4 linked regions of the Drosophila melanogaster genome follow. The protein of the gene in region 1 interacts with the protein of each later gene in a pairwise test. Each region holds a gene or a part of one and is shown on either strand. Other genes may lie near its edges. The genes, in order: CG34208, CG13887, CG1161 and CG9825.

The links.
Region 2: the proteins of CG34208 (region 1) and CG13887 interact in a two-hybrid assay, tested with the Drosophila melanogaster proteins (one large-scale study listed by BioGRID).
Region 3: the proteins of CG34208 (region 1) and CG1161 interact in a two-hybrid assay, tested with the Drosophila melanogaster proteins (one large-scale study listed by BioGRID).
Region 4: the proteins of CG34208 (region 1) and CG9825 interact in a two-hybrid assay, tested with the Drosophila melanogaster proteins (one large-scale study listed by BioGRID).

The regions. Positions count from the first base shown.
Region 1 is NT_033778.4:22,329,407-22,336,067, reverse strand, and holds CG34208 (uncharacterized protein), read right to left. Parts: upstream 2,943-6,661; 5' UTR 2,917-2,942; coding exon 2,764-2,916; 3' UTR 2,563-2,763; downstream 1-2,562. Other genes in the region: Liprin-gamma, read left to right, coding at 276-387, 1,104-1,127, 1,188-1,640; pgc (polar granule component), read right to left, coding at 3,656-3,871; T3dh (type III alcohol dehydrogenase), read left to right, coding at 4,024-4,073, 4,136-4,220, 4,436-4,810, 4,865-5,006, 5,064-5,806; CG34207 (uncharacterized protein), read left to right, coding at 6,348-6,653.
Region 2 is NT_037436.4:834,467-842,570, reverse strand, and holds CG13887 (uncharacterized protein), read right to left. Parts: upstream 4,711-8,104; 5' UTR 4,451-4,710; coding exon 3,947-4,450; intron 3,469-3,946; coding exon of another isoform or gene 3,418-3,468; exon of another isoform or gene 3,322-3,417; coding exon 3,139-3,321; 3' UTR 2,640-3,138; downstream 1-2,639. Other genes in the region: Gr61a (gustatory receptor 61a), read right to left, coding at 1-160, 213-407, 457-648, 709-853; JMJD5 (jumonji domain containing 5), read left to right, coding at 1,257-1,529, 1,581-2,513; CG13901 (uncharacterized protein), read left to right, coding at 5,120-5,788; CG42554 (uncharacterized protein), read right to left, coding at 6,018-6,635, 6,701-6,724; CG42553 (uncharacterized protein), read right to left, coding at 7,107-7,184, 7,241-7,792, 7,853-8,104.
Region 3 is NT_033777.3:5,351,303-5,359,240, reverse strand, and holds CG1161 (uncharacterized protein), read right to left. Parts: upstream 4,150-7,938; 5' UTR 4,057-4,149; coding exon 3,988-4,056; intron 3,915-3,987; coding exon 3,691-3,914; intron 3,408-3,690; coding exon 3,299-3,407; intron 3,239-3,298; coding exon 3,113-3,238; coding exon of another isoform or gene 2,975-3,112; exon of another isoform or gene 2,817-2,974; coding exon 2,661-2,816; 3' UTR 2,493-2,660; downstream 1-2,492. Other genes in the region: Cerk (ceramide kinase), read left to right, coding at 1-83; Prosbeta7 (proteasome beta7 subunit), read left to right, coding at 1,166-1,317, 1,385-1,886, 1,958-2,110; CG11999 (uncharacterized protein), read left to right, coding at 4,620-4,680, 4,808-5,397.
Region 4 is NT_033778.4:22,833,383-22,841,389, forward strand, and holds CG9825 (uncharacterized protein), read left to right. Parts: upstream 1-3,978; 5' UTR 3,979-4,053; coding exon 4,054-4,075; intron 4,076-4,339; coding exon 4,340-4,476; intron 4,477-4,533; coding exon 4,534-5,607; intron 5,608-5,674; coding exon 5,675-5,899; 3' UTR 5,900-5,909; downstream 5,910-8,007. Other genes in the region: CG30265 (uncharacterized protein), read left to right, coding at 1-811, 867-1,091; CG12490 (uncharacterized protein), read left to right, coding at 1,318-1,339, 1,610-1,746, 1,804-2,877, 2,959-3,165; CG9826 (uncharacterized protein), read left to right, coding at 7,453-7,611, 7,674-8,007.

The sequences.
Region 1 (6,661 bases):
TGCCGCTCTGCCTGACCACCCGCACTCCATGTATTCGAATTTGAAATCTCGAAAACTCCACACTCCCGTTATCTGCCGTCTGTGTCCTGTCTTCAATGTGCTGCCTGCCTGCCTGCCCATGAAAATCAAAAATACATGCACATCCAAACCCATTCACAACATGATATATGCCCCCGTGAACCCACAACACCCACTCACCACCCACCCACACACACACACACGCATATGACCTATGCAAAAATTCGCAAATCGAAATTGCCATGTTTGTTGTGTAGAGCGACTCTGGGTCAGGGCATCCGTTCCGGTTGCGGCGTAGTGCCTCTAACGGGACCCGGCGGACTGCAGCACTATGCCACAACAGATCGCCGCTCGAGCGGCAACCTCAGGGTAAGTACTTAATACTAATAACATAGCTAGTTATAGCCAATTATGTCTTGAATACAATAATCGTCTGTGCCAGTCGACAAACAACTATTGCTGTATATCCCTAGCCTGAATTGACGTGAAGCTTTTGTTGTCGCTCGGTGTTTGTGTCATAAATTATTTAAATCCCTGAGAGGTGGCTTCAGCAAGTGTTCTCATATCACTGGGAGCATGTTTTCACAGGCTTTCATCCAAATTGAAAATTCAATTTATGATAGGTTGCCTTTGCAGGCTGTATTGACTATAATTTACACTCCAAGGTGCCAACAAGTATGTGATAAATTCTGAGTTGAGATAAAGGACATTCAAGGATGTTACAATATTTAAGCGAAAATTCATTGGCTATCCAAAATACATCGTTGTTAGCTTTTGGTCAGCTTAAAACGAATAAGTTCGTAAGGATATGTTAAATATTGAAACTCAAATATCTACTCATCACAATTAAATAATGAATATGCCTTTAACATAGCAAATATGACATGTATTAGATAACCTTAGCATGGATATAATTACTGATTTGGAAAATATTTATAGTTCCTAAGGCACCTAAGAACAGGAAAAGTTTCATGACAGTTCCGAAGTGTTCCCGTTGTCGGCAAAAGTTTAGGATTTGAAACAAGTGTTCTTGTGCAAATTAAAACTATTAACATTTATTTCTTTTCATTTATTTTACTAAACAGATTTCGGCATGGAAAGGATCTCAGGTGAGTTGGCATTTCATTCACTCAAGGAGCACATTTCAATATTTGTATTTCCGTTTGCAGAGCTCCCTGTCTAAAGCCTTTCGGTTTAACAGCAAACCACATCGCACCGGGGACCGCAGCTCCTTTGGGAACTCCACCTCCCCAACGCCTTCGTACAGCAGCAGCGAGGGTGGCGGAGGAATATACGCAACCATAGGGCACCAGTATCCGAATCCGCACACCAATCTCCAGCAGCAGCACTACCATCACTTCCTGCCGCCGCCTACGACGGCCCCACCGCCGATTCCCTCGGCTGGGGGCATCTATAGTCATGGTCCGCCGCCTGGTCATCGTGTGAGCGCTCCGCCAGTTGGTGGGGCACTGGATGCGGTGTCCACCGACCCACAAATGCTCTACGAGCAGAGTCGACGGCGCGTGAAGAGCATCAGCGATATTGGGGCTTCGACGAGTGCGGGCAGCGTGGGGGCCTGCAGTCTGGGCGGCATATCGGCCTCATCGGAGTCCCCTGAATAAGAGTGAAAAGCTAGCTAGATAGGATTACAACTACCACTACCAAAGATACTCAGCTGTACTCCCGCATGAAAATCCCTTTCACCCCCCCATAACCCATTTACCCTTTCAGCTGCATTTGAGCTTAGAATCTACAAGCAAACTCAATTATATTCAAGTCAGTGTCAGACCCACCTACAAGATACAAGCATTCAGCAGCTACAGATACATATGCGTCAAGTAATACAAGATAAGCGAGTAATCATTTGATCAAATCAGATAGAAATTCGAACTATATGCTAAACATAAATAACGACATAATTATATTGTGTAGACTAAGCCCCAATCGCAGGCAAGAGAAGTAAGGATCGAATCAACTCGAATCAATTCAAATCGAATCAAAAACTCCACCCCAACTCCAACAAACTGCATTAGTCTAATCAATCACATATATGTAATTCTAATTGTAATTGTAACTGTAAAGATAGCTCTAAACCGATTTAAAAGTGAGAGGCAGATTGCGTGACGGTAATATACTCACTGAATTACAAGCCGATTTGGGCACTGGAGATGCGATTGCAATTTAGATAAATTGAAATTATTTTGTAACCGAAACTATCGTAGCTAAGCAAATGGAAACGGAAACTATTGAATTAAATTTGATAAGCCGCAAGATGCGGCACTTTGTAAATTATGATAAGCCCTAAGCAACGTTCAATATCGCATGGTAATGGTAAAATCCGAAACAGAATCAAATATATGGTAAATACAAACGCACTCCCCAAAAAAAACCCTCGCACAACCAAAGAAAGTCAGTCAGCCTGCTTTATCCGCCAATCAATCAGTATCGAAGAATCCCCGAGAGCGTCAGGGTATCATTAAGCTGACCAATTTAACTGTAGACCTATGTCGAAGAAAACTATCGAATAAACCCATGATCAAAACTCTGTTGTAAACGAATGAGTCTTTATTGTGCACGGGAAGATGCCACTCGCTAGATGAGCAGCACCTCAACATATTGCATTTTCTCGACTCCAAAACATTTCACCTTCACCGTGAGTCGCTGTGCCTCCTGTGTCCTTTGTGGTTCGGTGCATCTTCGGGGAGATTTCGTGGGTTTTTCCATCTCCTCCAGCCGCTCGGATTGCTAGCGTCGATCGTTGTCGTTATCGTTTCGAGGACGTCGCGTTGTGTGCGGACGACCCTTGGGCTCCGGATTGGGTTCCGCTAGGGCTAAAGTGCCCAGACTGCCGATGAGTCCGAGGATGCCGAATACCAGGAACAAACTAAGCCACTTCATCTCGCGATCGCGATGTCGAGTTATTACCAGTTCAACACAAACTGCTGAACGATACGCCTGGAATCAAACGTTTTATGGCCTGGCGCCCAGAAGATCGGCGACGATCTGCATGCTAATGAGGGAAACTGCCGTCAACATCGTTTACCATTGCCAGTAGTTTATGTTCGCAGATCGGCCAGATAGCGCGGCAAATTGAGTTGTAAATCCAGCGCGAAAAATGGGCGGACATACATTTAGGTAATTAGCTCCATTGTAATGGGAACAATTGTTCCCATTACAATTGAATCGCAGTCACATCTTACTGTGGGACCCGTAATTAAAAACGAATGGGTTTTTGAACGATTGCGAATCGAAAATATATTTCTATCTATTTTTTGGGTAAGTATTTGAGAAATTTCGAGCTTCCCTACTTGTTCTTGAATACATTAGGTGCAATACCGAAGGCAAATTATTGCCATTTTTAGATCTAGGACAACCATATGCGATTGATTGGTACAAATTGATTACTTGGTAGAGTGACAAAACAATGCGAGTTTTCACGAAAGCAAACATTTGAATACACGGACAAATTGACTTCAAGAAACTATGCATACGATCGCCTCTGAAGGCTGGTAGTTACAATATAAAATAACCGAGCACTTATCAAAAGTGCATTCACGATGTTCCACTCATGTGGCAAACGAACTGCTAAAACTATAATTTACAAATATCACAATAAGTTGGCTTTTGGGAGGTCCAGTCAGAATCTCCATCTATCCGCGATGACCGGCGGACTCAGGCTCAAGTTTTGCTGGAAAACCTGGCAGAGCTCATTCATCTCCCGCTCCCTTTGCAACTCCTCGCGCACTTGATGCCACATGGACTCGAATCCATTGTCGTAGGATGCCATCGAGGCATCGCCCTCGCAGGAGCTGTCTTCAAAAATAAAGGAGTACTCCATCTGGTAGTCGCACATTTTCGGGTCTTCTTGTAGTTCAAAGCTGCAAGACAGAGAATTTCAAATTGTTAGCTATCGATTATGAAGTGCTGTCTTTTGGCGCCAGCTATCGATTCGGCGGGTTCTTATCAAACGAAAGACCAGTCCAGCTGATTTCATTTATATACAGAATGTCGCGGAAGAATGTCTTAGGTTTGATCAACACGATCGTGGCCAACTCGTAAGTAAAAATTGCGTTTTATAACTGATTTCAAGTGATTTAAATAAAGTATGGTCTTATAGCTGCAAGTGCCCCGCCCATTCGCATAACTATGGCTCAGCAGCTCCAACCGCCTCCCAAACGGGTCGCATGGAATACGCCTTCGAGGTAAGTGGCAAAACCTTGGACTTTGGAGCACCTCCAGATAGTAGATTCTCATCTTTAGACAGGTGGTCATACCCTGGACCAGATAATACTATCTCTATATTCTTAAGCATCCCAATAGAATTTATATTTTAGATCTTGTGAATACTTTTAACTTAAATTTTGTTCGGTATATAACAAATTCTAATTCAAATTTGGTCAAATGTATTGATAAACAGATGTCAGCCTCGACTGTTCGATTTGGACCGGGAGTAAGTGCCGAAGTGGGAGCCGATCTTCGCAACTTGGGAGCTCGGAAGGTTTGTTTGGTCACGGATAAAAATGTCGTGCAATTGCCCTCCGTGAAAGTGGCCTTGGATTCACTGGCTCGTAATGGCATCAACTACGAAGTCTATGATGAAACCCGGGTGGAGCCCACGGATGGGAGCATGTGGCATGCCGTGGAGTTTGCGCGCGGCAAGGAGTTCGATGCATTTCTGGCCATCGGAGGAGGATCTGCCATGGATACAGCCAAGGCAGCTAATCTTTTTAGCAGTGATGCAAATGCAGAGTTTTTGGATTATGTAAACTGCCCAATTGGCAGAGGCAAGGAGGTGAGGTCTCCTTTTTAGACTTAGTACCTTTAATACCACTTGAATTCCATTTAGATATCCGTAAAACTGAAGCCCCTGATTGCGATGCCCACCACTTCGGGAACAGGTTCCGAAACCACTGGAGTAGCTATATTTGATTACAAGAAGTTGCATGCCAAAACTGGGATTTCCAGCAAGTTCCTCAAACCTACTTTGGGTAAAAAACTGAACTTCTTTAAATAATTTATTCTAATATCGTTCTATCTAACTCTAGCTGTGATTGATCCTCTGCACACCCTATCCCAGCCGCAACGCGTGATGGCTTTCGCTGGCTTTGATGTGTTCTGCCATGCCCTGGAGAGTTTCACGGCGGTGGATTACAGGGAACGCGGTTTGGCGCCCAGTGATCCCAGCTTGAGACCCACCTACCAGGGCAGGAACCCAGTGTCGGATGTGTGGGCACGATTCGCATTGGAGACGATAAGGAAAAACTTTGTGAACGCCATTTACCAGCCCGATAACCTAGAAGCCCGATCCCAGATGCACCTGGCTTCCACAATGGCTGGCGTGGGATTTGGTAATGCCGGAGTGCACCTGTGTCATGGCCTTTCCTATCCTATTTCTGGAAATGTGAGGGATTACAAGCCAAAGGGCTACTCCGCGGATCACGCTCTTATTCCACACGGCCTATCCGTGGTGATCAGTGCTCCGGCGGTCTTTGAGTTCACTGCTCCAGCTTGTCCGGATCGGCATTTGGAGGCTGCCCAGTTGCTGGGCGCAGAAGTGCGAGGTGTCGAAAAAGCAGACGCCGGTCGTCTTTTGGCGGACACTGTACGCGGTTTTATGCAACGCGCGGGCATAGAAAATGGCCTCCGAGAGCTGGGATTCTCCAGCAGCGATATACCCGCCTTGGTGGAGGGAACCCTGCCCCAGGAAAGGATCACTAAGCTAGCACCCAGGGCGCAGACGCAGGAAAACCTGTCGCAACTCTTTGAGAAGTCCATGGAGGTCTATTAATTTGGAGCCAAAACTTACCCACGCTCAACTTGTTCTCTTGAAGAAAAAAAAATGTTAAACTAACGGATCTTCGTTTAAGATCTGACCATACTTGAGCTTTCAAAATTCTATTTTTTTTAAGCGTATAAAAAGCTTAGAGTGAACCATTTAATTTTGGTTGGACTTGTGTATATACGAAAAATACCATTAAAAACCCTATACAGAATCACAGGAAATTTGATGCCCTGCTTGATTTTTGTTTACTTTATGTTCTTTGTCGCAATGGATCTTATGTACATTCAGCATTATTTTGTGGCCTCTTTTTTGGTCTGCACTTCGTTTGAGAATCCTCTACTCAGTTTGCTTTCCTAAGCTGCAGGAAGAAGACCGACGCTGGGACCAAAAATACTATGATATAAGATATTAATATTAATATAATATCATACAAATCATACATGATATCATATCATTAAAACAAAAAAAAAAGGATTAAATCCTACAAATTAGTTGCTCCAAAAAAAGCTTGTAATTTTTGTAATTATAATATATTTTAGACTGAAACATGTTTGAGTACTCCTTCATGTTCGAATCCTCCGGATGTGAGGGTAAATTTCTAGGGATGCCCTACGACGGGGAATTCGAGGCAATGTGGCAGCAGATCGGCAATGAACTCCGTTCCAGACATAATCGCTTCCTGGGAATGCCGTTCGATAGTGGATTTGAACGGATGTGGCGGCAGGTCAGAGAGGAACTGAAACGGGATCGGGAAGATAACGAATTGGCACTCTGTTTCCAGCGGAATTTGAGCACCTACGTAAAGGAGGAAGGGGATGTCGGTCAACTTGAGTCTTTTATTGAACGCAGATAAAATATATT
Region 2 (8,104 bases), on another chromosome or scaffold:
TAGCACATGGAAAATATATTGAATGGCATGATGAACATGATGTCGGAGAACTCCTTCTCCAAATAAAGTCCAAAGGTAATACGCGAGTGGTTTGTGTGGCACTGCAGGATGTGCATGCTATAGCTGCAGTAGCCAGAGGCGTAGTACAGCATGTGGTCGCCTGAAAGAAAGTTCTTCTGGAAACCATTGAAAGGATAACCCAGAAATCTCACCTACTGCCAGGACGACCACACTCAGAGCAAGGACGTTGACCTTTGACCGAAGGCTTCGCTTGCCACGTTTGTAGGGCGGAAAGAGCATCAGAATGTCCACCGAACTCCAGGGCAGCATTATGTGCGACCAGGAGCGAGCAAAGCCCACGAAGTTTAGCCAGTTGACCATGCCCACGATAAGGAAAACCAAACCCACTATTGAGCTTTCAGTTGGGATCACACTACCATACCATCTAAAACTCACCGATATTCTTGGCATTCAGACCCTCTGTGAAGAGAATATTGGCACCGACCAAGGTCTTCATGCCACCGAGCAAAAGGAAGAGACCGGTGACTGCCAGGCCAATGCTCCTTACCTTGAACTTCACATCCTGGGGATCGCGACTCCGGATATTCGACAAAGGCATAATGCCGAAGAACTGCGCCACACACAGATCTATTGTCCATTGTAATATGTTTAGACACATATGAAAGTGGTTTGGAAAAGTGGTCTTACATGGCCTGATGGCTCCGTAGAAGGTGTCCAGCTGCTCGAACTCCAATCCTCCCTGGGCACAGCGCCATCTCATGGCCAAAATGGCCCTCTGCTTCTGGCGCCGCACTTTCAGGTGCTTCCGGATGTCATCCGAAGTCCTCGACATGCTCCTCAGCTCTGACCGTCAGCAATTCCACTATCCGGGTTCTTGTCTCATGATTGTTGTTTACAAGCTGCAGCTTAGTCTAAAACCCGTAATTAGTGGCACTTGGGGCACACAATGCCATTCGGCGTCCAAAACGGCGGTCATAACTCCGCCCATGGAAATCGTTTTTCCATTTCGTGCCAGTGCAAAATGTATCTTCACCATGGAAGGACCCACGGAGCTACTATTTATAATTTACTAAAGGCATCCTTAAGCAATACATGTTTGAAGTACTGAACAACTCATCAATTTTTAAATATATTTTAAAACATCGATTAATCGAAATATTTAATGCTTACAAATGAACTCTGGCAACGCTGAATGTAAGCTAAAAGGTAAACAAATAATAGTTGTTTAACATTCTATGGATAGTGAGTTCCTGGAGCTGACGCAGCTGCTGCCCCGCTGGGTGGATCTGGAAAATGTGGTCCGTGGTGAAGTCGAGGCGCGCTACATACTCAAAAGAGCCGCGGATCACCTGGCGAACTTGAGGTCTGGCGGAGATTCCGGGGCGGAGGAAACCGGATATCTGGTAGGTGCGCTGGTGGACAGGAACTGGGAACGCATTCACACAGGGCACTTCAGCCAGGTTCCCTTGGTCACGAGGAAGATATACGCCATAGCCTGTTGCTTCAAGGTGGGATTTAGATGCTAACTAAGCCATACAAACTACAAATATACATTTTAGATTTTTTTCCTTCTCTTGGAGAGCACTAGTCCCGCCCAGAAGGATGCGTGCAGTGAGATCCTCGATGAGGCTCAACTTTTGGGTTGCATGGAGGATTGGAGTGAACTGAAAGTCGCCCTAATGGATTATCTCGACAAGGATGGAGCAGTAGCACTGAATTCCGCACCACTTCCAACTCTAGAGCCATTAACCCGAGTAACCTCCAACTGTGATATACCCCAACTGGACGCTCCCAGTCTAGAAGAGTTCCAGACAAAGTGCTTTGAGGCAGGACAACCCACACTCCTGCTCAACACCATCCAGCATTGGCCTGCACTGCACAAATGGCTGGATCTCAATTACCTTCTCCAAGTGGCCGGGAATCGCACGGTGCCCATTGAAATAGGTTCCAACTATGCCAGCGATGAATGGTCCCAGCAGCTGGTGAAGATCCGCGACTTCCTGAGCAGACAATTCGGAAAGGAACCAAGCAAGGCTGGCCAAAATATCGAGTATCTCGCTCAGCACGAGCTCTTCGCCCAGATACCAGCCCTCAAAGAGGATATATCCATTCCCGACTACTGCACCATCAGCAACGAAGATACCCCAGGAGCTGTGGACATCAAAGCCTGGCTGGGACCAGCTGGAACCGTATCTCCCATGCACTACGATCCCAAGCACAACTTGCTGTGCCAGGTATTCGGTTCGAAGAGGATCATCCTAGCTGCTCCTGCAGACACAGACAATCTGTATCCCCACGACAGTGAGTTTTTGGCCAATACAGCGCGAATAGATGCTGCTCAACTGGATCCTGAAACATATCCCTTGGTAGCCAAGGTGAAGTTCTACCAGCTGCTCCTGCAACCTGGTGACTGTTTGTACATGCCACCCAAATGGTGGCACTATGTGAGATCTGAAGCTCCTAGCTTCTCTGTAAGCTTCTGGTGGGAGTAAGCATTTTAATGCAGTTTATTGAACAGCAAATTTATGTAGGATGATCTCTGTTCAAGTTAAGATTAAAGTATGCACTGCAAAACCACGATAGATCACTAAATATGCGAATTTGATTAGCATTTCTGGGTAATTATCAAGGAAACATATTCGATGCCCTTTTCGCACACCGATAATGTAACGCCTCCGATTTCTAAGCTCCAAGTATGCAAACAGGTTGCGACGTCTGACGTCATTGCCGTGTACTATCAGACATGATGTGGACTATCCGCGCCAACAGATGAATCATCGAATCGATCACAACTGGATGGGTACTTTTTGGTTGTTCTTTTAATAGCCACGACGCTTTTTGGGTGTGTTACTGTGGCAAACAAAACTTAACACATACGAATTAAATACAAAACTTCGGACGAAACGAACATTGAGTTGAGGGACCATTATCAATATACCCCATTATCATTATCAAATGGTATATGTAGTTGTATCTATGAGGATTAACAATAAGATGTGTGTGCTTTCTATCGATTTGAAATCGTTATAATCTTTTAAATGTGCCTGCTTTCGCTGCCCCACCGCCATGCTTATAAGTCTTATCGTTATTTAAATGTTGGACTTGGCTCCAGTGAGTTTAATCATCCTTGTTTCCGCCTCCGCCGATGGTTATCTTCTTCTGCAGCTTGCTGTACTCCTCGGTGAGTCGGTCGTACTCGCGGTTGATGCTCTCCGCCTGCGACTTAACCGCCTCCTTGTCCTTCTTTTCGCGATTCAAGTCGGAGGTTAGCTCCTGGACGCGCTCGCGCAGCTTGTTGAGCTGCAAAATTCGGATTTCGTTTGAGTTTCGATTGGATTTTTGTTCGTTTTGGGTGTTTGGGAATGGATATAAGGTGGGTGCTCTAGGTGGGGATACTTAGGACACTCGGGCGGTGAGTCCTTGCACACGTCTCCGCAGTCTTGACAGCTGTTTAAAGAGTTAACAAGAGGTTTAAACTTTCGAGTGGTGGCTTCTGTTTATCGTGGCCCAACATATGTGTTTGGGTGTGGTTTCAAAACGTTTAGCTGCGGTCAAAACAAAAGCACTAAGCCTATGACAAATTCACTCGGTCTTCAAACTGATTTAAGTTTACGTTTAAGATTTTAATCATGATATATACTGGTATTTAAAGTTCTATATCGTTAATAGACTACATTTAAAGCCTTTTCGTATCTTATATTCAAAACCAATTGAGAAAATGTACCAGAAAGTGGAATGAAGTATAGATTTTATAGATTTAGTCGGCTAAAGACATTATCTCGCCATATTTTGACCACACCTTCTATATGCATTGCCATATCTTTACAGCTGGTAGTAGCCAATTGAACTCCAAAGTCTTAGGTGTTAGCTCTCTAGACATGCCATTCCTGGGGATCGGATGCAGGGGTTTGGGACGTGGACTCACCTCGATGAGAGTGGTATCCTCGCCGGCTTCCTTGGCCTTCTCGGTGTTCTTGTTCTCCAGCAAGGAACGTGCGGCTGCAGTGGCGCTCTGTGCCTGCTTGAAGGAAGCCTCGCTCTGGGCCATGAGATTGGCCTGGGTGCAGATCAAGTTTACCAGTCGCCGGATGACCAGGGCAAGGAAAATGGCGAATCCAGAGATGTAGAAGTTCCGCTGGGCACGGAACAGCTTCATGCTGTGCTGCATCTCCACGTTCAAGTGGACCTCGTTAGACTGCTGCAAGCCGGAGTACTTGCGCATCTCGCGAATGGCCTCCAGGAGGAAAATGACCAGAATTCCCATGATCAGCAGGAAATATATGTGCGCCTGTTGTCCCAACATCGATAGGAATTTGGACTTGAAGAACCGGTTCCAGCGGTAAGGAGTGAGCACCGGCAGCACCAGCAGAAGGACCAGTGCGATTTCCGCATAGAGAAATCCGGCGATCAAAGTCCACACCAAACTCATTTTTAATGTTTTATTAATTCCCTTTTTCGTTCGATTTTCGCTTCTTGGATTTTCGCTTTTTTCGACTGCCGCCTGTAAGCAGAAATGCGTCCAAATTAGCTGCTAAGTCTACGGATTCGGGACGGACGGTCTAGTGGCTATTTATAAACTACGGCCGGAGTGACTGGCTGCTTACTTTAAATAGCAATAATTAAATCGCTGCCGTGATGAAATATGCGTATATTTTATGTAGTCACTGCGCCGGCCACGTCAACTCTGTTTTTTTGTGTACGCACGGGGCTGCCAACTCGCGCGCTGGAATCAACTGTAAATTGGGTAGCCAGAAAAAAGCTGAATTCATGGAAAATATTCGAATTTCAAAATCATTTTATTAGTAAGTAAAAAAAATGGCAAGAATTAGTACGTATTTTGCATTAAAATTAACCATTACCTCCAAATATTACAAGACAAATCGATCATAAGGTATTGTATGTAATGCTTTAAAGTGCCTTGGTAACCCGGCTTGCGATGTAAACAAGCTGGCAGCTGGGTTGCCAGGTTTCCATCGCAATGTGCTTCTCAACAAATTTTCAACTTTGCGCCATCGATCAAATTTTCTGCCCCGTTCAGTTGTTATATTCGAATCTCCGGCGGAGACGTGTGCCTAGGTAATCCCATCAATCCCCAGAGATGTCCTACCAGAACTGGCTAAACTACCTGCAGGCGGCGGAGAAGAACTCCATGATAAGTGGCCGCGCCCGCAAGGTGCTCTACAAATTCCCGGACGGCAGGCAAATGGCCGAGGAGTACAACATGGACACGGGAATCGTGCAGCGGCGGGCCTGGAAATCGAAGAGCAACAAGATCATGGGCGAGTCGGAGTGGGAAATCGAGCTGGGCGATGAGCCGCGTCAGTTAAACTGGTCGGGCAACAAGCCACCAGGATCTGGCGAGGAAACGGACTCCCTGGCCGGCGGAGATTTCACCCTGCGGGAGAGCAACACCGCGCCACTGCTGACCAAGCGGATCACCAAGAAGAACATTGAGTGGCGCATCCGCAACATGCCCTACTCCCTGGACACATACAGCGTAACCGCCGATCCCGAGAAGCGTGCCATAGTCGTGCGCACCTCGAACAAGAAGTACTACAAGGTCATCCCGGTCCCGGAACTGGACCGCTGTGGGGTCAAGCCCGCGCAGGAGAGCCTCTCTGTCCACCACCAGTTCAACACGCTGATCATTACCTACCAGAAACCAGATATCCTCTGCGAGATGGAGGCACAGGTGCTGCTTCTGCTCAAGAATGTCGACACCGAAACCGACATGGATGATCTGCTGAAGGGTCTGATGGCCAAATAAACGACTTAGATTGTAATACACAAAGTATTATTATTATTATTATTATTGTGAATTAACCTAATTTAATTTATTTAGAGAATTCCCAAATACACTTCACAAAGGGAACTGCACAAAACGTTGAAATGAAGAACGTGCCTAAAATTAAATCCTAATCACCACTCAGCGGGCACTGCATTACCACGAGATCTTTCAAATTAGTTGAAGTTTTACAAATGGATCTTAACCAGGCCTATTTCTGGAAGCTCTCAGCCATGCCGGCATAGCTGGCCAACGAAGGAGCCGAGGAGCTGGTGAACAGGCTGTAATCGAAGGAGGGCAACTCCAAGGGCGCCAAGGATGGCAGGTCCAGGTCTCCACTGCCCGCCAGCCGCTGATCGCAAGTATCGTGTTCCTGCTCCTCCTGGGCAGAATCGCTCTTCTTCAGCGTCTCCATATGGGGCTCCGAATGGGCCAGTGTGCTAGAGGCCTTTGCCACCAAGGAGGAGGTGAACTTGGCATCGAAGTCCTGCACTGTTTTGTCGATTGCCTTGGCCACCGACTGAGCGGATCCTCCTGCGCCTCCACTTGCTCCGGCTTCTGGTCGCAGGGGCAGCATGGGACTGGTTTCCTTCAAGGGAGCATAATCCTTCAGCTTGTTCAGACCATGCTGCGTCTTTCGCATCTCAATTTGACGCAGTTTGCGCTGAAAATCGAGGGTCAATGTGTCCAGAACTTCCTTGGATTTGGGCAGAGCCACCCGTTTTTGGGCATCCTGCATGTAGATTAGGGATGTTTCCAGCGCTTTAATGGCCTCCTCATAGCGGTGATTGCGTATAAATCGCTCCGACCTTCGCTCGTGGAAATGAGCCTTTGATTTGGGTAGGTAATTCCATTTAAAACCATGTAAATTCGATGTTTTCTTCGGGTTCTTACCAAGTTCAGTGGTGCGCAGTCCATGTTTTTGACTGTTTTCCCGTCCTGATTTGAAATTATATGATTGCTCTTGTAACGTTGAAATTGCCAGGCACCTAAATTTTAATAATTATATTCCCAATTGCAATATTGCCTGTTTTATGCAAGCAAAATGTCGTCTATTTTTTTGCAAGAACGCAGTTTCCAAAATTTCACTTTTGTTTACATATGTTTTATGCGCGAGGTGTGGCAGCTCTGTCATGACAACAATCGATAAGAGTCGTATGTATCGTTTCGAATTTTTAAAAACCAATCGAATTCAAATTTGAAGGATCTTTATTTAATAATTATAACAACTTTGTGTAGAGCAGTTTTTGAAAAAAAATCACATAAAATTTATTTGAATAGCCTTAACGCTTATTGGTTTTTAAAGCGGTCTTCCTGTTGCCTGCTTACCTTCGGTAAGTGCAACTGAAGCGTGTACAAAAACAGGCACATTGATACCCTGTAAAGCACAGACATTAAAGACAGGACAAAATCACATTTTCCATTCATGCATACCTGCATCTTAGCTGATCTCACAAAGGCCTTATTCGAAGTCACAGTGAAAATTTGCCTGGCCATGCCGAAACTAAAGATTTTCAGACTTCGCTCGTTTACGTTGGCAGTGAAACGTATGTGGGAGAATTCTTCGGGTATTGTTTCCACATCCGGATAAACGGTGACCCGTTTCATCAGTTCCTCGGCTCGCTTCCGTTCGCCCTCGCCGCCTACAATATCCAAAATACTCTGGAAGGCATCGTAGGCTAACTGGCAGCAGACCAAGGTTTTTCCCTCTAGGATTTTCTCGAGGAGCGGTTTTAGCGGCGAGGCTCTTTCCCTTTCCGCCTGTTCGGTGAGCAGAGGTTCCTTGTAGACCCAATTGGCGGATCCGTTGGTGAGCGCACTAACGTAGGCCAGCAATGTGGTCACATCTAGATTCAGTTCGTTCGACGTCGTGGCGTACATATCCAAGTCGGTGTCTGGTGAGTCCAGGGAAGCAGTTTGTACGCCCATTTCCATTAGCTCTTCATGCAGGGAGTCCTCGATTTTGTTGGAGAAGTAGAATACTATCTAAAAGGCAGTATATCAGATGATGAATGCTGTCTAGGGTAGCATACTATTAGGCATTACCTTCGGCCTCTGGAACATGCAGAAACTAAGTTCGCTGGCCTCCAGATAATCCTCCGCCTGGTCGATGACACTTCGGGCTCCGATGCTGACACATCCCCTGGCCGCGTCCTCGACGGACTTCGAGTTCCTGGCTATCACCTTCACCCACTTGAGTCCATTGTTGGCCACGATGTCGACTCTCAGGGGACTATCCCTAGACTCCAGGCGGAATACGGCATTGATGTCGACTACTCCTTGTTGCAAACGCAGAGT
Region 3 (7,938 bases), on another chromosome or scaffold:
ACAGCAAGCCCCTCAAGGGCGGCACCACGCCCACAACCCCAGCTAGCTCTAGCGACAATGTTTACTGCTGCTGCAAGGACTAGAAGCTTTAACCCCATAGAATTAGCATCAATCGTTGGCCGTGACATGTAGCTCTTAGTTTTGCGTAGGGTATCCTTATTCGTATATGTATCGTGTTAAAGAGCGGGTCTCCCCGTCATTGTTTTTAGCATAGCTCAATAAAGCAACTGATATTATCGACTGTATTATGGCATCTGAAAGATGCGGCAGCAACCTAAACATTCCCCTCGGAAGCATTATGCACATACCTATATATTTACAAATTGTGTACTGGTATACTGGCAATAAAAATGTATTTATATGTCTTCAAATTTATAATTCTTTATTATTAATTTATATGATCAAATGTTATGATAAAAAACTTCGTTGGGTTCCCAAAAACAACAATCCGGAACATGTGCGTTTTTCCCACCAATATGAATAAAAGCAGAAGTTTTAGCAAAAGAACCTTATTCCGCTTAAAAAGCTATGGAGAATCGTGTTCGAAGGGAGAGAAGGGAGATATTGGATTTGTAGATTGACCAGGATAATTTCCAAACGTCATTTACATTTATTGCTCTCGATTCTTATACTTTAATGACCATTGAACGGCTTAAAATGAAGTAAAGCAAATGGTCATTATATATTAACTAAACATATATTTAGTTTCAAGGAGTAGTAAATACCGTAGAAGCAACGGGTATACATGAGTCTTAATCCTAATTGAGTGAAAAGTTCTTTAATTTCTTATCTTTCTTCTCCTTGATTTGTATTATCAACGAGGATTATAAAGACAAAAGTAAAAAAACAAATTCAGTATAGGCAGCGTGGTGTTAACTGTTTTACATTACTTTTAACATCAACATCTAATAAAATGTTAAAAAGTTCACAATTAAACTTCAAATTAATTTAATTTAACACATGTAAAACGGTGTGACCAAGCTAATAGTGGATTCATCTTTGGTATGTCTGGTATTTTTAGCTACCGGTTGCCGATACTGGTATTGCCGCCCGCCTAAAGTCTGTTCACACTGCGCTGACTCTTGATTTTATTTGTGCCCGTCATTCTCCGGCAGCGACAAACATTTCAAAGTCTCGCGTTATTCCAGTCTCCGAATAAATTAGCATGTTGAACAACTACAACAGCCTAGCGCAGCCCATGTGGCAGAACGGACCCGCTCCCGGCGAGTTCTACAACTTCACGGGCGGACAGACGCCGGTCCAGCAGCTACCGCGGGAGCTGACCACAATGGGACCCTATGGAACCAAGCACAGCACGTAGGAACTGCGGATATGTTTATATGCAGATGTACCACTTGTTTACACTCCTTTTACTATTCCGCAGTGCTTCCAGCACCACGGGCACTTCCGTGCTTGGCATTCGCTATGATTCAGGAGTGATGCTGGCCGCCGACACCCTGGTGTCTTACGGATCCATGGCCCGCTACCAAAACATTGAGCGCGTCTTTAAGGTCAACAAGAACATCCTGCTCGGCGGGAGCGGCGACTTCGCTGACATCCAGTCCATCAAGCGCAACATCGACCAGAAGATGATCGAGGACCAGTGCTGCGACGACAACATCGAGATGAAGCCCAAGTCCTTGGCCAGTTGGATGACCCGTGTGCTCTACAACCGTCGTTCGCGGATGAACCCCCTCTACATTGACGTGGTTGTCGGCGGCGTGGACAACGAGGGGACTCCGTACCTGGCCAACGTGGATCTCCGTGGACGATCCTACGAGGACTACGTGGTGGCCACTGGTTTTGCCCGCCATTTGGCCGTTCCGCTGGTCCGTGAGAAGAAGCCCAAGGACAGGGACTTTACCGCCGTAGAAGCTTCCGAACTGGTAAGGAATTTCGAACTCTGATGGGGGGACTCTTCATTATTTAACTACCCTACCATTTTCTTATATTCTAGATCCGCACATGCATGGAGGTGCTTTACTACCGCGATACTCGTAATATTTCCCAATACACTGTGGGCGTGTGCAGCGTCAACGGATGCGGCGTGGAGGGGCCCTTCCAAGTTAACGAAAACTGGACATTCGCCGAAACCATAAAGGGATACTAGAGCCTCCGATTCTGAATGAACTTAGTTTAGGTCTAGCTCGGCGGTTTTGCATTAAAAAAAAACACTTGTCTAAGGATATGTGGTTACATGATTTATTAAAAATAAATGTGGCTGAAAATAATACGTTTAAAGTTATGGTTATTGTGTGATAGAAACTATCTTCGAGTTATTCTTTCGTTAATCTCTACTGATGGAATCAAAAAGTAGGCGTCAAACTAAGAAGCCCAAGGGAGTTTCCAAATCTAACTTGGACTCACCATTACGGTCTTACGTTCCTTATTTTCCCAAATTATAACCATCAATTATCATTAAAAGTTTTATTTTAGTGGATTTGTTGGTTATTCCTCCCGGCATTCAACTTATTAATTAATATGCAAACACTCCTGACAAACATATTTTGGTTTATTTTAATTAACATAAAATCTGGCTAAATATACAGATAATCAATTTGATCCAAAGGGGAATTTCGCAAAGGATAACTGCTTGGAATACGTGTCTTAAGTCGCCCATGCGCCTCCTAATCTCCGCCAGCTGCAAACCGAACCCCTTGTTAGTTTAGCATGGTATGCCTGTCGTAGATGTGGCGTCTCTGCTCGCGCACCTGCCGCTTCCACTTGTCCTGCTGGTGGCCCACACGATTGAGGACATTGGCTCTGGCACTGAGCTCCTGGTTGTTGACGGCTGGCAGGGGCGGCGTTGGTTCATCCTGGTTAGAAAAGGGTGGAAAAATGTGGAATTAGTCGAGGTGATCCAAGATCTGGCCGTGTTAGTTACTGTCTTAATGAAGTGACGGTGTGGGTTAGAAAGTCAACAAAATCTATAACGCAAAATGAAACAAAGGTGGTTGTGGAAATTAAAATCTATTCAAAAGAGTGGTGCTTCTTTATTGCCAACTAGTTGAGCCGCTTCGGCATCAACATCGTCATCTTCATCATCTTCGCCTTGGGCTGTAACTAGGAGGCTATACTGAATGCCCTTGTATCTAGAAAGCTTGTTATGTACATCTTCGTTGGTGTGCTCCTGGTAGTTCGCCTTCACTCGCTTGTTCAGCAACGGGTCCAGGCACATCAGGAAGAGCATGTATATTACTAAAATGGAGATGATCCAAATCACAATAATGACCACGACCTGGATGGGGGAGAGAGCTGGTTAAGTACGGACGGCTTTTGAGCACTCGAATTGACTCACCTTTATCAGCGTCGTATTTCTCGCCACATGGGAGCACTTGCACTCGGCGCATATGGGCAGCTCCTTGCCATTGGCATCCAAACGGGGCAGCAGGGCACCGGCACAGACGCTGAAATGGTAACGTGTAGCAGGTTGTTAAGAACTCCAACCTAACAGAATCACAAATTAAGCTCATTGATACCAAGATGCCTTATACATTTAGTAGCTGAAAAGTGAATACATTTGTGCAATACATGAACTATGATTCTTTGAAGCCTACGCAAACAACGTAAATTGAATTTAAAGTAGTAGAATCCAGTGGGACGAAAGGGATTGCAGCTTTAAAACTGCTCAAATGGACTAGACTTTAAGTTTCCAGATGCGGCAATTTCTGCCAGTGCAGTGCCACTTACCACTCAGTTGTGCTGCTGGAATTGGAAGAATTTTTGCCTGGAGCAGCGAGCACAGGCTGGCCGATGACCTTGGCCGGAGGGGCGGCAGTGGGAGCTGAAACTTGCTTGGCTAGTGGAGCTGCAGCCGCTGGAGCTGCAGGTGCAGGCACAGGAGCAGGTTGAGCATTGCTGTTGTTGTTGCTGTTGGTGCCGATCGCTGGGAATGTCTGCGCCGCAGTCTCAGCCTTTGTTGATTGTTTGAGGGGGAAATGAAAGCGGATTAGTGGGGCAGTCACGGGATGTGGCCAGTCATCATACCCATGTCACGCCAACCAAATAACATATCACCAGTAGCACCGCGTAGACGAACAGGCGCTTGTGTGCCATTAATTTTTCTTTAATTTCAATTTTCCTCAGTTTTCTTGCCTTTTATTGGAGAAAATTCCCTTGCAATTTCGCAGAGTGACCGTACTTGTCTGGTGCACAGAAAATACCAACAAATTGTCGCTCATCGAACTAGTTCCTTTTGGTGCAATTAGTTTTTAGGCTAATTATTAATAACTAATTATTTCCTTCACGATATAACGTTCATTTAATTCTAAAACAATCAAGAAATAAGTTTCTAGGCGTATCAATAAATCTGTGACGTCAAATTCGTAATCTGCTCTCTGAAAAGACTAATTATATTTTTCCTTTATTCAACATTTATTATATACATTAAGCTATTTTCCGTTAATGGAATAAGTTACAGCAATATGGAGTTTGTTATAGTATTATGTTTATTTTTTTCGGTGAGTCCATAATTTGGATTTTACCGCAGCCTGGTCACACCAGCACCGTCAAAAATAGCAATTGTTTGCGTGTGCAACGCTGATTTCAACCGTAATTGCCGGTACAGATTGACTGACTTAGGTCCACGGACTAGGATACGATAACTAGAACAGGACACGATGCAGCACATACTACTTCTTACAGGACTGGCGCTGGTAGGCAGCATTTCCAGGGGAGCCGGTAAGTGGCGACCTGAAACAAAGTCGCGTCTATGTGGTCTTCTCTGATTGGCCGCCCCTCTTTCTGAACCTTCCGTGGCCATAGTTAATGCTTATCTTATATTCTATCTTGACCCTGCTGAACACAGCCACCGAATCCAACGTGGTCACCTGCGGCTCCATCCTGAAGCTGCTCAACTCGGACTACGCCTTCCGCCTGCACTCCCACGACGTCAAGTACGGATCTGGTTCCGGGCAGCAGTCGGTGACGGGCGTGGAGCAGAAGGAGGACGTGAACAGCCACTGGGTGATCAAGGCGCAGACCGGCGAGCTTTGTGAAAGGGGCGAGCCCATCGCCTGCGGATCCACCGTGCGACTGGAGCACCTGTCCACCAAGAAGAACCTGCACTCGCACCACTTTTCGTCGCCGCTCTCAGGCGAGCAGGAGGTGTCCGCGTACGGAACGGATGGACTCGGCGACACCGGCGACCACTGGGAGGTGGTCTGCTCCAACGAGAACTGGATGCGCAGTGCCCACGTTAGGCTGCGCCACATCGACACCGGCATGTACCTGGGCATGTCCGGCCGCTCCTATGGCAGACCCATCTCCGGCCAAATGGAAATCGTTGGCGTCCACAAGCCGCAGCACGGAACGCGCTGGACCACGGCGGAGGGCCTCTTTATCGTGCCCAAGGAGAAGAGCTCAACGCACGACGAGTACGCCCACTCGGAGCTGTAGTGCTCCCTAAGGACCTCGACTGCTGCAGTTTCATACTACTATTAGTTCTGTAATTTATAACTTAGTTGAATTTTTATTGAAGACCCCAAAAGCAAACCATCAAATTAAAATTATTTAAACTCAGGGTACTTCGAAACTTTCAGATTGCTTTCATCGAAAGTTATGTATTCTATGTATGTATTATGTATTCTATCTAGAAAGTGCCTTGCATAAAGGCAGTCGTAAGAACCACTTAGCTTAAATGCATTGCAACAAATGGGGGCGTCTATAGAGCCCTTTTTAAGGTAGTGAAACCTCAGTTGCAATCTAACTTTTCTAAATTTTTCTAGAACTTTGATTGATTGTCTACTTAGTCAGTTGCAGGCACACAAATGCTTTTTTATTTTTATGTAACCTTTTATATTTTAAACGGGTATTTTGAGGCAATAGTACTCTTTCTGTTGGCATTACTGCAGTTAATACAGATGTATCTATTCCATGTAGTGCTGAAAGACATGCGTAGGTTACCAGGTGCTAATAGCGTGTTCGTGTCACTTTTCTACTACTCATTGATGATTAAGACTGATTGCATTTGGCGGAAAATGTCGATATCTTTGAACTCCAACAGAAGGTATCCCATGCCGGATTGACAGCCCTTTAGCTTGAAGCTAAAGCGGGAAGTATCCTTGCAGATGCAGCCGTAGGGCGTCACTCGCATTTCGCGAAAGGTGCTCCCCATTCCTTCGGATGTTTTTGTTTGCATGCATAAAACAATGGGGCTTATTCCGACCATACAAGCTATGTATATACATTTTGCCATTGCTCGCGGTTTCCGCTCCCTTGCTGCCCCGATATCGTCACGTCCATTATCTGCTCGTCTGTTTTGTGTTTCTTTTGTTTGGGCCATTGTCAACGCTTTGTCTGCTCATCCTCCGGGCCATGTCCTCATCCTCCGCTGCCTCCGCCTCCTTCGCATCCCCGTAATCCCAACTGATTGTGGACCCAGTAAGGTCAAAGTGTTAGCTGATCTAACCCAGCGCACAGTCGTTTATAGATTCTCATAATCGGGTTGTCCTTGTAACCATTTTGCACAAATAAGAAATGGAAACAAGGATACTCGTTCTACTAGTCTGATGAGCGATGTTGTCCCCAGCAGGAAATCTTAGCAAGATCCACCATCTGAAGATAACCCTCAACTCCGTAATTTCATGCTTTACGATGCAAATACTGGAAGTATCAAGCTTTGAATCTTGTGTCAACTATTCCTGATTGGAAATTCTGTACAGCAATTATTATAGACTTTCAATAAATTGTCATAAATAGTATATGGAATATGGATAGCACATAGCTGTCCACGATGTCATATTACCAGAACATAGTATCGGAGAGTATAAAACACTTTAGTTGTCGATTACCATCTGAGCATGTTAAACTTTGTATAGTGAACCAAATGTTTTTCCACGGCTTAGTATAAAAGTCTTCTTCATTTTGCTTATATTGCTACAGAAATGAACGTCTTAACATTATATATAATCCTTTAAAATTGATCAATTATCGCATAATTTAATGCAATATAGTGGGCTTATGTGTTTAATGAAATCGGCAATGCTGCCACCTGCTGTGGCAACATACCATTTAATATCACGTCAATTATCCCTTACAGGTGTTGATAACTTCCGTTCTGCGCGTTTATTGATTTACCCTTAACGTGTTAACGCCAAACTCACTCATACGCACACCCATACATACATATGTATAAGGATGTGTTCCTGCTCGCAGGACTTTCCCTCCCCGACAACCGGATTCCATTGTTAAGCGGTGGCCCATCCTTGTATTCATCGTATCCTTGTATTGTGCTTCCTATGTGACCAATAATAAAGAGAATATTTTGGAGCGAAGCTACACTATTAAAAATTTTCATTAGACTTAGTGTAGAAAACTGTATAGATCGGGATAGATATAGCGAAATAAGCTCATAAGCCAACTAATCAAGTATTTCCTAATCCAATTGCGAAACTATTCGGCATTTAATACTGAAAATAAAACTCAAATCTCTTTCTCTGCACGCATAAATGCCCAAGTGTTTTAGCAATCCTACGATAATATATATTATACATATAAAAGGGAAACGTTTTCCCTTATCGATTTGTCTTAATCGACAGCGGGCAAAGTTTAAAGCGCTTAAAAGTGGGAAAGGACTCGTTGCTTGAGTGACTGACAGATTGACACAAAATGTTTGAATGTTGCGATGTTTGTTTGTTTGCGAGTGTGACGCCTGCCCCTCTGCCGCACAATTCCAAACGAAAAGTACGTTGTGTATACGCACGAGTGGCTGGAAAGCGTAAGCAAAACGCCCTGCATACTAACCGGCGCACCCTGACCTACGTCGTGGCGAAATATCTCAAAGTTACTTGGAGTACGATTAGAAAGCTATCCACATGTTTTAATTTTCGAAAATAGAGTAGGTTTAACTAGAAGCTTTCAAGACACTTAGTCACTGACTAATATATGATAATAGTATAAACAAACGTACAAACGTTCTATGTTAATTGATACAAAACT
Region 4 (8,007 bases), 500 kb from region 1:
GGCCAGATGGTCACCGCCGGCGGAGAGGAATCGCTTGGGTGCCCTCAGTCACACAGGAATTGAGTGTGGCAACGTGTGTGCCATGTTCTTCAGTGGAATGATAGCCAAAAGTGCCATTGGCTGGCCTGGAATATCGTATGTCTCTGCAGGATTAGCCTTAGCCTGGTGTGCATTTTGGTTCGTTTTCGCTGCTGACAATGCAGAGGAATCTCGTTACATAACCCAGGAAGAACTCCACTATATCGAATCGTCTCTGAAGCACAATGAGGACTATCACAAGACCGTAATTCCCGTTCCCTGGATGGCGATTTGGACCTCGGCACCGTTTTTTGCTCTCATGGTGGCGCGTTGCTGCGAAACCTGGGGTCTGAGCACCCTCCAGGCCCAGATCCCAACGTATATGAACGGGGTTCTGGACATGGACATGAAAAGCAATGCATTCTTTTCGGCGTTACCATTTCTGGCCATGTGGATTATGTCGTATGTGTATTTGATAATCGCTGATGTTCTGCTCGCCGGAAACAGGCTGAGTTTAACGGCTCTCAGAAAGATCTTCAACTCGTTGGCCTTCTGGATTCCTTGTGCCACTTTGATTGGAATCGGATTTCTGGATCAGGAACAGAAGAACCTGGCCATTGCTCTGATGACCATCAGTGTCGGTGTCAACAGTGGAGCAACAATCGGAAGCTCCTTGAACACCATAGATCTATCCCCGAATCATGCGAGTATTCTTATGGGTATTGTGAACACGGCTGCGAATGTAGTGCCTATAGTAACCCCTCTGGCTGTTGGACTTATTGTTCATGAAGACGTAAGTTTGCACTGTTAATGTTTATAATAAAGTAGTCATACTATTTTTCCTTCAGAAAAACCGTGAAGAATGGCAGATAGTGTTTATAATTGCGGCAGTAATTTTCTTTATCGGAAACTGTGTGTTCCTGTATTATGGAACGGCTGTTTCACAGCCCTGGGATGCTGAAGACTACCTCACAGAAAAGGTACCAGACCTAGCTATAGCTCCAGCTATCCATGAAGCTGGTAAAGGCATTGATGGACCTTCTCAGAAGTCGATGATATTAAAGTTCCACTAGATCGATAGCACTTAAGTCTCCAGTGTACATAGAAACTATTTAAAACAATCAAATAAAAAAAAAATCACCTGACGTGGTATTAGATAAGGCAAATTCGGCTTATCAGCTAATTCAACTTGAATTTAAATTCATATTAAGTTCGCGGGCTCACTCACTCACCTTCCCACAGTTATTCCGATCGGTCGTTTTAAAGAAGTGAAGAAGTGTTTTGTTGACCAATTCAAAAATGACGGCCGAGACAAACAAAGGTGTGTAAAAGGAAATCCTTCGATTCGGATAAGAGTTTGTGAATGAAATGACACCCCACGAACTTGACACAGTTGAAAACCCCTCCATGGATCAGACCTTGCACTCCATCTGAAAATTTCGGGCTTTCCGCACGCGCACTCAACTCATCATAAATTACTTCAATAATGGCGCGATAACCGAGTCTCAAGAGCAATTCAGATTTATTTTCCCACCTGTACTATGTAGGCAGAAAGTAGCAGCTTTAATACCAGTTCGTTTTGTTATTGCAGGACCCGTTCTGGGAATGAGGCATGTCCAGGCGCTACTGATCTTCCTCAATATAACTACCGTATTCATAGGCCGCCTAAATGTGGGCGTGTCTGTGGTGGCAATGACCAATGCGGAAACCACGAACCCGAACTTTCCGGTAAGAATAGGGATCCTATAAAGAAAATACTACTTAGCTCACTAGATTCTCTACTAGGAATACGATTGGACGGAGGCAGAGAAGTCGTATATATTCTCCAGTTTCTTTTGGGGCTACATCTTGACCCAATTTATAGGTGGCTATCTCTGCAAGCGCTTTGGAGTCAAGAGTGTAATGTTTTGGGGTGTCTTTGTATCTGGTGTCTGCAGTGCATTGACCCCGCTCTTCATCGGTTTTGGCGGATGGCAGGCCTACTGCGGAATTCGCGTGGTTATGGGCTTGGCACAGGGACTAGTTTTTCCCTGTATTCATCACCATTTGGCCAAATGGTCACCTCCGGCGGAACGAAATCGGTTGGGAGCTCTTAGTCACACTGGGATGGAGTGCGGCAATGTAAGTGCCATGTTCTTGAGCGGAATGATAGCCAAAAGTGCCATTGGTTGGCCAGGAATATCATATGTCTCCGCAGGATTAGCCTTCGCCTGGTGTGCCATTTGGTTCGTTTTTGCCGCTGACAATGCAGTGGAATCTCGTTACATAACCCAGGAAGAACTCCACTATATCGAATCGTCTCTGAAGCACAATGAGGACTATCACAAGACCGTAATTCCCGTACCATGGATGGCGATTTGGACCTCGGCACCATTTCTTGCTCTTACGCTGACGCGTTGTTGCGCGACCTGGGGTCTGAGCACCCTCCAGGCCCAAATCCCAACTTATATGAACGGAGTTCTGGATATGGACATGAAAAGCAATGCATTCTTTTCGGCATTACCATTTCTGGCCATGTGGATTATGTCGTATGTGTACCTGATAATCGCCGATGTTCTGCTCGCCGGAAACAGGCTGAGTTTAACGGCCCTCCGGAAGACCTTCAACTCGTTGGCCTTCTGGATTCCTTGTGCCACTTTGATTGGAATCGGATTCCTGGATCAGGAGCAGAAGAACCTGGCAATTGCTTTGATGACCATCAGTGTCGGTGTCAACAGTGGAGCAACAATCGGAAGCTCCTTGAACACCATAGATCTATCCCCGAATCATGCGAGTATTCTAATGGGAATCTTGAATACGGCTGTTACTGTAGTGCCTATAGTAACCCCTTTGATTGTTGGAGTTATTGTTCATGAAGACGTAAGTTTGCACTGTTAGTGTTTATAAACAGGGCAGTGATAAATAAGTATAAATAAGAAGACTTTCTGTTGATTGTTTCAGGATAACCGTGCTGAGTGGCAGATAGTGTTCATAATTGCGGCAGTACTTTTTTTTGTCGGAAACTCGGTGTACCTATACTTTGGAACGGCTGTTTCACAACCCTGGGATGCTGAAGACTACCTCACAGTAAAGGTGCCAGAGCTAGCTAAAGTTCCAGCTATCCATGAAGCTGGTAAAGGTATTGATGACCTTCCACGAAGTCCTTGAATTGAAGTTCTATCGATAGCACTTAAGTCTTCAGTTAACATAGAAACTATTTAAAACAACAAAGCAATCAAAATAATTTAGAGTATTATTATTAAATTTAATAAGATTTAAGATCTACATCAGTACATTTCATTTGTTTATTAAACGTATAAGTAAAACGATTTGTTTGAATTAAAATGTTTGAGCGTTATTTGCTTATCAAAAGTCGTCAAATTTACCAAAGGTGCGGCCATAAATCAATCCAATAATGGTATGGCAGTAACTACTCTTGATATTACCAATTGATTTTGGAACGCCACACGACCAGGCAATGCTGTTCTAAACAACCTCGTTTAACAGTAGAAAAGGAACTGCAGGTAGGATATTTTCGTCAAGATATCTAAAATTAACTATTAAAGGTGCAAAACCTTGGCTTCTTTCTTGACTAAGTAACCTGAAGGCCGAAATGCCCACCTATTCGAAAAAGGGTTCTCGATATGGCCATGAAAAAGCAATGCATTCTTTTTGGCGCTAACATTTTAGGCCATGTTGCTTATGTGGCATCTATCTTTTACCGAATCGTGCCAGAATCCTTACTAGAATTGTAGAAATGGATGAAAATAATGATTTATTGATTGATTTACAATATTCTGACTAATGACATAATAACTAGTTTGTAAAGTACAACAATTTTTTAATGACGCTTTTTAATTCAATGGTTAAATTCGCCCGCTGTATGACCTTATCACCTGACGTGTCGTATCAGATAAGCAACATTTGGCTTATCGTCTAATTCAATTTGGATTTAAATCCACTCTATGTTCGTGGTCTCACTCACTTAACTTCCCACAGTGATTCCGATCGGTCGTTTAAAAGAAGTCAGGAGGTGTTTTGTTGACCAAATCAAAAATGACGGCCGAGACAAACAAAGGTGCGTGAAAGGAAATCCTTCGGTTCGGATAAGAGTTTGTGAATGAATTGACACCCAACGAACTTGACACAGTGGAAAACCCCTTCATGGCTCAGACCTTGCACTCCGTCTGATTTCTGGGCTTTTCGCACACGCATTGAGTGGTCATAAATTACTACAATAATGGCGCGATAACCGAGTCTCAAGAGCAATTCAGACTTATTTACCCAACTGTTTGTAGACAGGAAGTAACAGTGATAATACCAGTTCGTTTTGTTATTGCAGGACCCGTTCTGGGAATGAGGCATGTCCAGGCGCTACTGATCTTCCTCAATATAACTACCGTATTCATAGGCCGCCTAAATGTGGGCGTGTCTGTGGTGGCAATGACCAATGCGGAAACCACGAACCCGAACTTTCCGGTAAGAATAGGGATCCTATCAAGAAAATACCACTTAGCTTACTAGATTCTCTACTAGGAATACGATTGGACGGAGGCAGAGAAGTCGTACATTCTCTCCAGTTTCTTTTGGGGCTACATCCTAACGCAATTCCTTGGAGGTTATCTCTGCAAGCGCTTTGGAGTCAAGAGTGTAATGTTTTGGGGTGTCTTCGGATCTGGTGTCTGCAGTGCTTTGACGCCGCTGTTCATCGGATTTGGAGAATGGCAGGCCTACTGTGGAATTCGAGTTCTAATGGGATTGGCCCAGGGAGTGGTATTCCCCTGCATTCATCAGCACCTGGCTAAATGGTCACCGCCCGAGGAAAGAAATCGGTTGGGAGCTCTGAGTCACACTGGAATCGAGTGCGGCAATGTGAGTGCCATGTTCCTGAGCGGAATGATAGCCAAGAGCTCCCTGGGATGGCCCGGAATCTCATATGTCTCGGCTGGAGTGGCCTTCTTCTGGTGTACATTATGGTTCGTCTTCGCTGCCAACCATCCTACGGAATCTCGTTTCATAGGAGAGAACGAACTGATCTATATTGAGTCGTCTCTAAAGCACAATGAGTCATACCACGCTACCATTATACCCATTCCCTGGAAGGCAATTTGGACGTCGGCACCATTCCTGGCCCTGCTCATAGTACGATGCGCTGAGAACTGGGGACTGAGCACTCTGCAGGCCGAGATCCCATCCTATATGAACGGAGTCCTCGACATGGACATGAAGAGCAATGCGTTCTTCTCGGCACTCCCATTCTTGGCCATGTGGTGCATGTCGTATATTTACCTAGTCGTAGCCGATGTGCTCTTGGGCAAGAACTCGGTGTCCTTGACGATTTTGAGAAAGACCTACAACTCCATTGCCTTCTGGATTCCTGCTGCCACTTTGGTGGGCATTGGCTTTTTGGACAAGGAACAAAAGAACTTCGCGATTGCTCTGATGACCATCAGTGTGGGCGTGAATAGTGCTCAAACCATTGGCAGTGTTTTAAACACAATTGATCTATCGAAAAATCACGCTAGCATTCTAATGGGAATTGTGAATACAGCGGCGAATTTCGTGCCCATAGTCACTCCTTTAGTTGTTGGATGGATTGTTAAGGAAAATGTGAGTGCTTGCAAAAGTTGGTAGGAAGTAAAGATTTTTAATTGCTTATTGTATCCTTTCCTTTCAGTCTGATCGCTCCCAATGGCAGATCGTGTTCATCATTGCCTCCGTAATCTTCTTTGTGGGCAATTGCATTTACTTGGTGTTTGGCACGGCCGAAACTCAGCCCTGGGATGCCGAGGACTATCTGCAGACACAGAACCCGGAACTTGCCAATAGACCACCTATGCAGGCGTTATCCTTTCCAATTAACGAAAATTCCAAAGAGAAAATTAATAGTAAAAGCCATTAATTCTTAACCCATTTAACGCATTTATTTTTTAGACTAGTCTGGATAACCAAATTTACATTTTAGCATTTGGTTTTTATTTGTTCACTTTAGTGGTCTAAAAATCATAACTTGGTAGAGAGATAGCAAACGATTCTTTTATCTATAACTGACACTCAAATTGAGTTATTCTTGATATTTTGAAAATGCCATTGAGGGCGACATCACTAAATATTTTTAATTACAAGTCCGCAGTCTCAAGAGCTAGTCAGCTATTATTGTTTTGATTGCTCGAAAATATAGACATATTCTTGTGTTTAAAATTCCCTTAGTTACCGTCGCTAGTAGACTGAATTATAGAGCATTTAGTTCTGCAGTTCATTTTTAAGATGCCGTTTGCGAAGACCTAAAAATATTATCTTACGTACAACGATCTCGTCATTGCACTTCTCGCCATATGATTTGTGATAAAAAAAATTGGCAATGCCCACAGTATCACTAAATGGTACACACCTTTATGGTTTCTTTGGAACAAAAATTTAAGGCGCGACCTATAACTTTAGTAAGTGACTCATCGTTCGAAATGAAGGAAAACCCAGTTTCCAATTTCTTCCACCAAGATTTGTGAGAACCTTTCAAAGCTCTGTTATCCCTGAGCAGATAACTAAAGCTCTGCTGGTAATCTCAAATGGAGCCTACTTAGCTTTGGCTCATAACACACTCAAGCAAGGGGAATCACTCGAGATTGTAATGGCCAGGCGAGGAATTGGCTGAGATTAGAGTTTTCTTTAAATTCATAAAGTTCAATAAATTGACATTATAAACATTATAAATACTTTGGCCGTGTGGCTCGGTACAGTATCGATTAGTTGATTATTTATTTAACTGGTAGCATCGCTTATCAGTTGCGTTCCATTGTTTCGACCAGATTGCGGCCATAAAGAATACTATGCCAAAAAATAAATAAACTCATTCATTTATGGCGGCTCTTTCGGTTGCTGGTGCTGAGCACAGTTGTATTAAGCTTTCAGGGGATCGGATTTAATTTTTCTACGGCTTCAGGCCTGGCGAGCAAAAACTTTTGTTGATAATCGTGCCATAAATCTTTCGGGCAAATAAACACGTCTCTGGCCAAAGTTGAGTGTTGGGTGGGTGTGCTTATTTTCTAGCCACCACTTTGTGTAAATCCATCAATATTTGCCGATAATACGTAGAAACATATGCATATGCTTTCTCAATCCACCAGCGGATCGTACTACAATAGATCCGCTACGTCAGTCAGTCGGCTTCTGGAACGAGGAGTTGCGTCAAAGTGTCTCCGATCGCCGATCTTGTTTGTCGCTGAACCATCTCCCTGGGGACTCACCTGCGAGTCCGCGGGCCAATCAACTATGTGGGTGAATGATATCGCCGAGCGTGTTGGCCCAAGCTTTCAAAGCTTTCCGCTGTCGTATAAATGTCGGCAATACAATGGCGGCTGGGCTTAGAACCATTGCCCCAATCTAACAGTGCAGACCTCGGTAACTAAACCAAAAAGTGTTCCAAGTGGAGTTGCTTCCTGGACTTACTTGCCGATCATGACCCATAAACCTTGCAAGGGCCCTCGTCTGGGCGTGCGACATCTGCAGTCGTTCCTGCTCTTTCTCGGCCTGACCGTGATGCACATTGCCCGGCTGAATGTCAGTGTGGCCATTGTGGCCATGACTAACGCGGCCACCACGAATCCCAATTTTCCGGTGAGTTTTAAGTGATATTCCTTGCGGTTGGAAATAGCTGACGTGGCCGCTTTCCCTCGCAGGAGTTCGAATGGACGGAGAAACAAAAGTCGTACATACTCTCCAGTTTCTACTGGGGCTACATCCTGACCCTGTTTCCTGGCAGCTTCCTGTGTCGTCGCTACGGCGCCAAGGTGGTCCTCTTTGTGGCCAGTTGTGGCACTGCTGTGCTCAGTCTGATGACCCCGTGGTGCATCACCTGGGGTGGATGGCAGGTGTTTTGCGCCATCCGCATTCTGCAGGGCTTGTTCCAGGGCGTGATCTTTCCCTGCGTCACAGAGCATCTGGCTATGTGGTCGCCCCCAGAGGAGCGGAACCGCCTGGGCGCCTTCAGCTACACAGGCACGGATTGCGGCA